3 linked regions of the Mus musculus genome follow. The protein of the gene in region 2 binds, or shares a complex with, the protein of the main gene of each other region. Links are inferred from orthologs where the notes say so. Each region holds a gene or a part of one and is shown on either strand. Other genes may lie near its edges. The genes, in order: Polr3k, Polr3c and Polr3g.

Region 1 (4,202 bases), on a different chromosome or scaffold from region 2:
GTGAATCATGTTCATGCAGTACCCTTGGATGCCAGTAGAGGGCATGAGATCACCTGAAACTACAAGTACAGAAGGTCTGAGCTGCTATGGAAGTTGGGAAGGAAATCCAACTTAACCACTGAAATCCTACCCAACTATTTCTTGGTTGACAGACTGACTGAGGCAGGGTCTCATGAAGCCCAGATAAGCACTGAGCCTTCTGCCTATACCCGGAGAGCACCAGAATTATAAGCTTGAGCAACCATGCTTCACCCCTAGTTACAATTTTTTTTTAATTCATATAATAAAAAATAAAATGAAAATAAAAGACCAGGGCTGATCATTTTTTCAGTGTTGGTATTTGAAAATACATACAACATAACTCTCGAGAAGCCTACACCTGCTAGAGCATGGATCTCTCTTTCCCTCTCAACAGCTATGTTTACATCAATGTTGAAACTTTTTTGTAATGAACTCCAATTTTGCTTCAAGAAGAGAATATGCACCAGATTTATTTTTAATTATACTTTTCCATATCTGACTTGAGAGTCTAAATGAAACAACAGTTCAGGTATCCGTATGGTAACTTTCCTTTAAAGAATACTTGAAAGAATCTACTTTAAAAAACATTTAATACAGCCAGGTGGTGGTGGCATATGCTTTTAATACCAACATACGGGAGGCAGACAGGTAGATCTCTGAATTTGAGGCCAGCACAGTCTACAGAGCAAGTTCCAGGACACCCAGACTACACAGAGAAACCATGTCTCAAAAAACAAAATCAAACAGCAACAAAAATGTAAAACCTTGTTTAGAGTTAGTGACAAACACTAGCTATTTGTCATTACTTTGTTATTTACATCTTCTTAAATTCTTTTACACTTACACGTACGTACGTGTGTGTGTGTGTGTGTGTGTGTGTGTGTGGTGGATGGTACAGAGTCACAAAAAAAAAGTTTCCATCAGTCAGCTCTCTTCTACTCTCTGGGCTCCAAGAATCTAACAGGTTTGGCAACAAGTGCTTTTACCTGCTGAGCCATCTCACTGGCCCTAATAACAGACAGGGTTACATTATAATAATAAATTTATTATTATTAAATATAATAACGAGTAATAATAAGCAGGGTTGAGTCCCTAGCTCTGTTATGGGAAAATCCTCACCTGCAGTAGAGTCCACATTCTCCCATGCAGCTGCTCCACCAAGCACGTCGTCCACTTCTTTTAGCTTTGGATACTTTCGGTTTGTTACCTAATAGAAACAAGACATCAGATTTGAAGTAATTGTACAGTTTTACAAGTGGGCCACCAAACTACAATCTCCCTCCAGCATTCCCTCTACAAAATTTATCTTCTTCAAAGAGCAGTGTGAGTCACTGAAATGTAGGGGTCTTGTGACTGGGATGTCCCCCAAAACAGCACAGAGGTTCAATGTCAAAGGTCTCTAGAAACAGAAGGAAACACCAGACAGAGCAGGAAGAAAAATCAGCCTAGTAAAACCTCACTCTTCTCTCATACCCCTCAGACACCTAATAATCCAACAGGAGTGACAGACATTTAACTGGGTATACCAGCACTCCCCAGGTCATTTTGGCTGCTTTCCTAAGTTTATCAGGCATCCTTCTAATTTCGAAATTATGTCACAACTCATCTTACCACAAATCCAGACTCTAAACTCCTACCATACAGCTCTAATGAGCAAACATTAAGAATGAGATGTCACCAAGGCCCAGTGGTGCACACCTGCAGTCACTGAGGTAAGGAGGAACAAAACAAGAGTTGAAGGGTACACAAAACACCAAGGGCTAGAAATACAGCTTTCTGGGCTCCAACACAAGCACCACACACACAAAATAGCAACAAGGATATAAAATATTAGAAGGCAATGCATTCTGTGAAAAATATAAAAGGAATGTGGATAAACTGAAAGTGCTGGGGTTTGGTTTGTTTCCTGTGCCTGTGCGTGCGTGTGTGTGCGTGTCTATGTGCTATGCAGCCCAGGTGAGCCTTGAACCTATTCTCCTGCCGCAGCCTCTCCAAGTGCTAAAATTATAGACATGCACAAACAGCCAGAAGGGCAGGAATCTAAATAAGGTAGCCATTATTTTAAAAGAGGAGAGGGAGAGAGAAAGGAAGAGGGAAACAGAGACGCATACATGCACACATACACGGGGGTAGGGGGTAAGGCGGAGAATGAATAAGTGTGATATGTGCCTGTGTAAGAATGACTCGGGCAAAAGGAAGGACCTAACAGTACTGCGTACATGGTGAAGATTCTCTAGAATAACGACAGGGGCTGGGAGCAAAAGAGCCACAAGAAGAACCCAAGGATTTCAAATCAGAGGCGAGGCGCGGACTGGTACGCCAAGGACAGCACGAGGGGAGTGTAGGTTTAAAAGGTATGAACTAAAATTCTCACAATTTTCGGAGTATCACAAAGTGGGCAACGGAGAGCTAGAGGGGGGTGGGGGGGCTTCGACGTGGCCGGAGCGACGCCACTGGAGCAGCGACTGCTGGACTTGGGGTACCACCGCAGCGAGAGCACAAAAGCCTGCAGGAAGGTCTGAGCGCGCCGACGCTTGCTGTGCCTCCCAGAAAGCAGAGAAGGCACCCGTCTGTGGAACTTACCTTACGGGTGATATTATGGACGTAGGGGCAAGTGTTGCAGGCGAAGCGATGGCAACGCTGCCCCTCCTCCACAATGAGTCCGTTCCCGCAGCCCGGGCAGAACAACAGCATACTGCCAGCTTCCACACCTCGCTTCTGTCTGGCGCTTCCGTGGTGCAGGCGCCCAATCAAAAGCCGTCTCACTTGCTCCGTAACTGGCAACCCGGGATCCTCAAGACGTTCCCAGTAGGCACTGCGGCGGGCAGCCTCGCACACTCCATTGGTCACCGCAGATAATCCTTTCCCATCCAGCCAATAGCATGCTGCCTGCACGCCCAGCCCTGTCGTTTCTGCGCGTGTGCACACGTCTCCCTAGCTGAAACGCCAAGAGGACTGGACCGATAATGCTGGCACCACCAGAGTACCCAGGTGAGAGGTTCTGGGTGATGAGGAGACACTTGCCGCACTCCGAGCCATGGACGTGTTACAGGAGGATCATGCTGCTCCGCAATATTCTCATCCGGAACGGACAGAAAATAACCAAATGTCCCAGGAACACTGTCCCCATTGTTAATACTACGTCTCAACTGCTGTCTGACTGACGTACGATATCCTATCTGGACCTGCCATTCCTCCATCTGGCCATTTCTTCACCTAGTTTCATTCTGCCCTTTCACTTACACAGCTAGACTCAACCCTGCAGGTAACAAATACCAGCAGCTCCTTTTCACAGACGTCCAGCTGACTCTTTTATCTCATTTCCTATAGACATTTATATTTCCCAGCTCTGGCTTCTCAGATTTCTTTGAAACTCCTTGCCTCTTTAATCCTCTGCAGTCATTCTGCAACATGCACATGTATGTGTGTGTTGTTTTCTGTTTGCTTTAACTATACACAAACTAAATATCCAGGGAGAGGAACCCCAATTGTGAAAATGTCACCATAAATTGACCAGTAAATAAGTCTCTGGGGGCATTTTCTTGAGTTAAAATTGGTAGGAGAGGGTCTAGCCCATTGGGGGCGGTGTCACCACCAAGCCAGTGGTCCTGGGTGATATAAGAAAGCAGAATGATGGGGCTGAAGAGATAGTTCAGCTGTTGCTTGTTCTTATAGTGAACACTGGTTTAATTCCCAGCACCAATATGGTAGCTCACAAACGTCCATAACCTCCAGTTCCTGAGAATCCAATGCCCTCTTCTGACCTCCGTAGGCACCAAGCACGTCTTTGGTGCACGAACAAGCATTCAAAAAAAAAAAAAAACAAACAAACAAAAACCCTCATACACTTAAGTAAGTCTAAGAACAAAATGGAGAGAGAGAAAAAAGCAATCTGAGAATCTGAGTAAATCATGAGGAGCAAACCAGTAAGCAGCATCCCACCATGGTAATGGCTTCTGTTTCTGCAGCAAGTTCCTGCATTGACTCCCCTAAACAATGGACTCTTGACATGTAAGCCAAATATTTATGGCTAGTTTTGTGTCAACCTGACACAGCTGGAGTTATCACAGAAAAAGGAGCTTCAGTTGGGGAAATGCCTCCATGAGATCCAACTGTAAGGCATTTTCTCAATTAGTGATCAAGGGGGAAAGGCCCCTTGTGGGTGGGACCATCTCTGGGCT
Region 2 (3,173 bases):
TTTGGAATGGGCAAGATAAACAGCCATCCACTTGGTACTGTCAGCACTGATCTTCTTTCCTTCTTAGCCAATCAGGGGCTATGGTTATGACATAATCAGTCACATGGAGCAGGCTGCCCAGTTTCCATTTGTCTATCAGCATCCTGGGTGGAAGAAAGGAAAGGCAACTAATATTTACTGAGCAAACTCTACACAAGCCTTTATTAATAACTGTGACAGTGATTAATAAATAAATTCAGTCCTTCAGCCTTACTCTCCTGAGTACCGAATCATAGGTATGCATTACTGTGGTTGGTGCAAAGCACTGCTTTTATTTCAGCAGCCACCACCATTTTACAGATATGAAGAGGATGGTAGTTGACTTGCTTGGTGAATTGACTCCAAAATCTATCAACCTACGTCTTCAAAGGGTCCTCAATACAGAACTACAGAATCCAAGCTATGCTGAACAAGTTACTCTATTAAAGATCTAGGCTGAGAGAGGTCAGGAATAATGGGCTGGAGGCTAGAAAGAGCAGGGAAGTTATAATTGTGAGCTGATTTCTTGGTGCACCCTGTCTGTCTCTCTGAGAGGCCAGTTAAAGTCTACATGATCCTTGGAGGATTTGCTATGTCTGTGTTAATCTTTTTTCTGCTTCAGAGGTGGTTATGGTGTCTGTCTGGGGGCCCAGGCTGTCAAGGTCAGCCCTGCTGCTCAGCATGCACTGGGGCTGTGGTCACCTGCAGCAGGATGAAGTTTTCCGAGAGCATCTTGTACAGCATGTCCTTTGCCTCCTTCGCAGGGATCATTGCAAAGTCCTCCACCTGCTTCTGCTCAAGGTGTTTCTTCTGCAATACCAGACGGAATATCCTGGCACAGCGAGACCCGAATCTGGAAAGGGACAAAGAAGCGCGTGGCATGCTTTAGCTCCTAGTCTCAGAGCGTGGAGGTACTAGTCTACGTGTGGAATCGGGACCCGAGAGGAAAACTGCATCCGTTCTGACACAGCTCCTGAGGTTGGTGATGGCACTGTTCCTCTAACTCGTTACCAGATGCCTACCTACTCCTACCTACTCCACAGTGCTTGTATTACAGAGCTTTAGGGTGGCTGGTTAATTTGCCTAACTAGGAATTAACTTTATGGGAGAGATGAGACCAAGTGTGGCAGGGGTATGCCATAAAAACCTAATGACTTGTTCAGTGGGGTGTGGATAGCAAGTGTCTGAGCCCAACCCCAGTCAAGGAGCCTCTTACCTCTCCTGGATGACAGACTCCAGAGTTGCAGTGGCTAGGGACGCTAATGCTTTATGGAGGTCTTTAGGTAGAGGATTAAGGACATCTAGTAATGTTTTAGCCTGGTCACTATTACCTTAGTTTCATGACTAAATTCCTAATTTAAAACTAAAAATTAACTGCTATTTTGCTTTCACATTTCAGGTCTGATATGTAGGGTTTGCTTAAGTGTTTTTTTTTTTTTTTTTTTCTTTTTCTTTTTAAATCTTTTCTTTTTTGAGACAGGGTCTTGCTATGTAGCCAGACTGACTTTGACCATTAAACTTTTCTGCCTCGGCCCCTAAACTGCTCTGATTATAAGGGTTTACTACCACACTGGCCTCTCCCCAGCTTCCTCCCTTTCTTAGCTCCCCGCCCACCCCACCCTCTTCCTGTCTGTGGCAATGCTGGTGATCTGGCCCAGAACCTAGAACAGTAAGTGTGGTGCTACTGAGTGGCAGCTGGAGCCTTTTTTTATTTTCATTAATGTAACTCACTGAAATTCACAGAAAACTTAATAGAAAGTTCATTTTTAAAACTTGTTTAGTATATTAAGCATTGACAAACTCTTTTCTTAAGGTGGCACATGTGTCTAACTCAGCACTTGGGAGGTAAAGGCAGGAGGATCAGGACTTTACTGCCAACTTCTAGGCTACACAGTGAGTTCAAGGCCAGGCTGGGCTACAGAGACTGTCTCAACAAAAACCCAGAACAATCTTTCCCAGGCCCTGCTTCCTAACTCAGAGGTCCTGACAGGACAGGCAGCTGAAAGGATACTGATGACAAACATTCCTCCGCCACTGTCGCCAGACTTTCCAATAAACTCTAGCTGTTAAGAAGAAAGAGAGTGAACGGTGTTAACTGCATAATTCTCTTTCCCACGGAGCACATCTGGTCAAGAGACTGAAGCAGGTAGCTTTCCTGTTGGGTGAAGGGACTTTGTCTGGGATGGCTAAGTACACAAGAAGGCTATAGGAGAGAAACTGTGATCAGACTAAGGGGGCAAGAGACTTACTGGGTCATCTGCCAGCAGCGTGAGGTACTGATCGAGAACCTGTTTAGAGATGTTATATCCGACGGGCAGGGACCTGAAGATCTGTGGGACAGAAGGAGATGCTGGAAACAGGGTCAGAACGCAGAATTGCTAAATGTAACTGAAACAAGATGTCCTAAGTTTAGATTTCAAAAACATAAAAGTATTTAAGAAATATTCATGGGCTAGAGAGATGGCTCAATAGTTAAGAGCACTGACTGCTCTTCCAGAGGTCCTGAGTTCAATTCCCAGCAACCACACGGTAGCTCCCAACCATCTATAACGGGATCCAGTGCCACCTTCTGTCTGAAGACAGCTACAGTGTACTCATATACATAAAATAAATCTTTTTTTTTTTTTTTTTTTCGAGACAGGGTTTCTCTGTATAGTCCTAGCTGTCCTGGAACTCGCTTTGTAGACCAGGCTGGCCTTGAACTCAGAAATCTGCCTGCCTCTGCCTCCTGAGTGCTGGGATTAAAGGTGTGCGTCACCATGCCGGCGTAAAATAAATAAATCTTAAAAAAATATTCAGCCAGGGCTACACAGAAAAACCCTGTCTCGAAAAACCAAAAAAAAAAAAAAAAAAAAAAAAAGAAATATTCATAGTATCATTGCTTATAAGAGTAAAGAGGCCAAGAGGGCTGCACAACTTTAATCCCAAAACTTGGGAGGCAGAGGCAGGTAGATCTCTGTATTTGGGGTCTAGTCTACATAGTGAGCTCTAAATAGCCAGTGCTACACAGTCAGACCCTGACAGAAACAGAGTAGAAGGAGAAAAAACCCAAGTGTCCAGTGATAAATAATTAATTAAACTACAACCAAGTGTAGTGGTATATGCCTGTACTTAACACCAGCTCCCCAGAGGCTAGGGAGGAAGACTGTGGGTTA
Region 3 (3,651 bases), on a different chromosome or scaffold from region 2:
TGAGTTCAAAAATATATAATTTCTCAACTATGCAAAATAATAAGGATGCAATATGAATTATATAAGGAGCATCACAGATCTAAATGAACAGAGGCAGCAGTACTGTGAGCCAACTTGTCAGAAAGATACAAGGTAAGGAGATAAAGAGATTTAGGGAGTGGTGATCACAGGGCAAGATCCTACCCAACTAAGTTTTTGTGCTTGCAAAAGCAGACAGATTTCTGAGTTCAGCCTGGGACAGAGGGTGTTTAGGTCCAGGGCCAGGTGAGGCAGGAATGGTAATTCCAGCTCTTAGAATATTTTCTAGCAGCTATCCAGAGAGAACTGCTTGGAGAGCTAACATGGCTTTTAGAATTTTTTTCTGGCTTTCTGATTTTCATCAGAAAACCCAATAATTACTTTTAGAACTTTTCTAACAGCATTGACTTGGTCAGAAAATCCAATAATTTTTTTAGCAGCTTTTCTGACTTTGATCCGAAAACCTATGAGCTATCCAGAAAGCATTTAGAATGTTTTCTATTACCAGGGAGCTGTCTCAAGCAGGGAGCTGTCTCAAGCAGACTACAGAGCTAAGAGCTATCTACAAAGAGCTACCTAGGGAGCCATCTCAAGCAGAATACAGGCCATCAGTTTGTACCCCATGATTTGACTTCAACCCATTTGTTTCACTGTTCTCAAAGACCCCTTCTCTCAGAACCCCTCTCCAAGTTGAGGCTAGTCCTTGGCATACACCTAAGCCTCAGGAGGCATCAGAGAAGAGCGAGTGAAATGAAAAGAACCCAGGGACTAGGAAGGACACATGATGTGAGACAGTGTTATCTAGAGATGACACAAGTCACATCCATGAAATCTCAACAGTGTTGTTGTCAAAACAGACCTTCATAAGGATAGCAGCAGCTGAAACGCCAACATGGATGAGGGAATTCAACCCCAAAAGACACGGCCCCTGGCAATCCATAAAGAGCTATAGTCAACTAATTATTGTAGAGAGAGGGAAAAATCAGTTTTCTCCAAGAACAAGGCCCCTGATAGGTTATCCAGTTTCTAGTAGTCAGTCCTTCACACATACATATGAGCACCATTAAACGGACCCAGGAGGCTGTGCGTATATGTGTACATATGTGTACCTGTGTGTATAATGTTGTACATATAAAGTACATACATATAACAACAATAATTATAGAAGAGGTCATGAGGGGGCTGGTGAAATGGCTCAGCGGTTAAGAGTGCCAACTGCTCTTCCAAAGGTCCTGAGTTCAAATCCCAGCAACCACAAGGTGGCTCACAACCATCTGTAACAACATCTGATGCCCTCTTCTGGAGTGTCTGAAGACAGCTACAGTGCACTTACATATAATAAATAAGTAAAGAAAGAAAGAAAGAAAGAAAGAAAGAAAGAAAGAAAGAAAGAAAGAAAGAAGAGGTCATGAATTTGAGAGGGAGTGTGGAGGACATGGGATGAGTAGGAGTGAAAACGATGGAATCATATATAAGATTCTGTAAATGATACATAAAATTCTCAAAAAAAATCCAAACTATTAAATTTTTTTTAGTGCATAATCTCTTTATCTAATTCTATACTGCCACGAGTCCTTCAACAATGGGCTTCTCCATCTGAAACATGACAGATTAATGCAGGGTCAGGTCACTCATGATTGTTGGTTTCCAGCAGGAGCACATACCCATCTGGAAATGGAAACTTCCGCTTTCAGCTGAATGTAGAGGAAACATCAGCTGTTCTATCATTCAGTTTAGAAGCAATCGCAAGAGTAGGAGAAACGTTTCTGCCCTGAGCAGTTAACAAACTCTGAAGTGACTCAGAACAGGGATGCAGCAAAGACAAACTTGATGAGACAAACATGGCATCATAGTAAGGAGCAAAATCTTTTTTACAAATACAGAATATGAAGAAAACCACTAGCTACACCAGGGGCATCATGAACCTAACTTGGCTACTTAAAATATTATTTTGGTAATTAGAATATATTAATGACATCAGTAGAAGACACAGATTTCAAATAAATGTTCTTAGTATACACAGTAGTCATCATGTTTGTACAAAATTGTACATACATACATACATACATACATACATACATAGTTTTTGTTCTCTGTTTTCTAAGAAAGCAGTCTTCAGCAGGATCTGAGAATAATCGGATGTTTGAGTGCAAAGTAAATGCAACATACTCTTACTCTTAGACATGAGGATATCATGATACTAGCATGTACTCAAGCCCTAAGCAGAACTGCACTTTCCCATGAAACACAAAAATACATTGTGAAAACTGAGCTATCATCACACGTACAGGAAACAGGGGTGGAGGCTTCAACACAACATCAGGTAACTTCTCCCCTCTGCTGAATCCAACAGCTTCGATATTAAAGGTGTAGGCAGCACGCCCTCTTCCTTTATTGCCAGCCATTGGAAGCAGCTATAGCAGCCGTGTGGACCAATGCTGAAAGACACAATTAGTGGGTAAGATTCACTGGATCATACACAAAAGGAAACAAGCATTTTAAAGCAAAATACAAGATTCTAGCCCTCATATAGCATGGTTGATTTAAAATAATTTTGAACAGAGTTCAAGGATCTAAGCAGAAGAGGATCTATGCAGGGATCTATGTATATTTTGGCAGAAAGATTGTAAGAGCCAGAGTAGATGGATAACTGCAAAGAAAATGTGTCTTCAAGACAGAACAGGCCTGGTGCACATGAACTCACAGACTGTGGTACCACACGCAGGGTCTGCACGGGTTCAAGTTAAACAGGGTGCCAGGACCAAGAGAGTAAAATAGACAGACTGCATCCCCATCCCCATCTCCAACAAGGAAGGCAAGTAGATCCTGGCACTCACCCCTAACCAAGAAACCACTGGCACAATACAGCCTATACTTGCTTGCAAAGTAACAATTTGTTTTTAGTTTTCTCCAATGGAGTCTCTGGGGAGGCCTCAGGCCCAGTAGTCTGAACTTGATGGTCCTAATCGTAATTGTTTTAAAAAGAATTTTTGTTTTATATTGCTTTGTGGAGTTCTGTCTTACCGGTCTATTGCATGTATATTTTAGTTTCTGTTTGTGTGTGTGTTTCTTGTTTTTGCTTCTTAAAGAGAGAGAGAAAGAAAGGGTGTGGGGGTTGGGTGGAGGAAAAGATCTGATAGGACCTGAAGGCAGGTTAAAGTGTCACTAGAATAGATTGAAACATTTTCTTATCAGTTAAAAAGAAATGTGCTTAGGAACAAGTGTCACTGACGGCTAAAGTTTCACTGCCACCACCAGTAGGGATGTAGCCTAAAGGCTACAGCCCCTTCACTTAGGTCCTCAGGAAAGGGCTGACCCTAGGTCTCCTTAGAGATCCAGCTGGAACTATACAGCCAACTGATACAGTTCCCTCCATCTCTGGGGTGTGATAACAAGATCTCAGATATACAGAAGAAGAAAGAGGAGGAGAAAAGGAGGAAGAGGAAGACATGAGGGGATGGATAAATTCAGGCTGAGAAGAGGAAATCTTATGTCAGTTTGAGCGCTAGTAACCATACACTGTAACTCCACACAAGTTATTTATCCTAGAATCTGAGTGTTAAACAGGACTCTGGGCTGTAATGTCCTTTTAGGAATATGAAAGGGATTCATAAGGCTCTGAAAAGGTCTGCC

What was found.
Region 1: Polr3c (region 2) and Polr3k share a complex: the UniProt entries of both Homo sapiens proteins name them as parts of the RNA polymerase III complex. The link is inferred for Mus musculus from reciprocal best matches to the Homo sapiens genes POLR3C and POLR3K.
Region 3: Polr3c (region 2) and Polr3g share a complex: the UniProt entries of both Homo sapiens proteins name them as parts of the RNA polymerase III complex. The link is inferred for Mus musculus from reciprocal best matches to the Homo sapiens genes POLR3C and POLR3G.

What each region holds. Positions count from the first base shown.
Region 1 is NC_000068.7:181,862,972-181,867,173, reverse strand, and holds the start of Polr3k (DNA-directed RNA polymerase III subunit RPC10), read right to left. Parts: upstream 2,815-4,202; 5' UTR 2,716-2,814; coding exon 2,605-2,715; intron 1,229-2,604; coding exon 1,141-1,228; intron 1-1,140. UniProt on the Homo sapiens protein: Core component of RNA polymerase III (Pol III) which synthesizes small non-coding RNAs using the four ribonucleoside triphosphates as substrates. Can mediate Pol I proofreading of the nascent RNA transcript.
Region 2 is NC_000069.6:96,714,400-96,717,572, forward strand, and holds part of Polr3c (DNA-directed RNA polymerase III subunit RPC3), read right to left. Parts: intron 2,407-3,173; exon of another isoform or gene 2,349-2,406; coding exon 2,268-2,348; coding exon of another isoform or gene 2,247-2,267; exon of another isoform or gene 2,113-2,246; intron 2,082-2,112; coding exon 2,030-2,081; intron 1,296-2,029; coding exon 1,235-1,295; intron 872-1,234; coding exon 721-871; intron 1-720. UniProt on the Homo sapiens protein: DNA-dependent RNA polymerase catalyzes the transcription of DNA into RNA using the four ribonucleoside triphosphates as substrates.
Region 3 is NC_000079.6:81,697,438-81,701,088, forward strand, and holds part of Polr3g (DNA-directed RNA polymerase III subunit RPC7), read right to left. Parts: intron 2,457-3,651; 5' UTR 2,424-2,456; coding exon 2,307-2,423; intron 1-2,306. UniProt on the Homo sapiens protein: DNA-dependent RNA polymerase catalyzes the transcription of DNA into RNA using the four ribonucleoside triphosphates as substrates.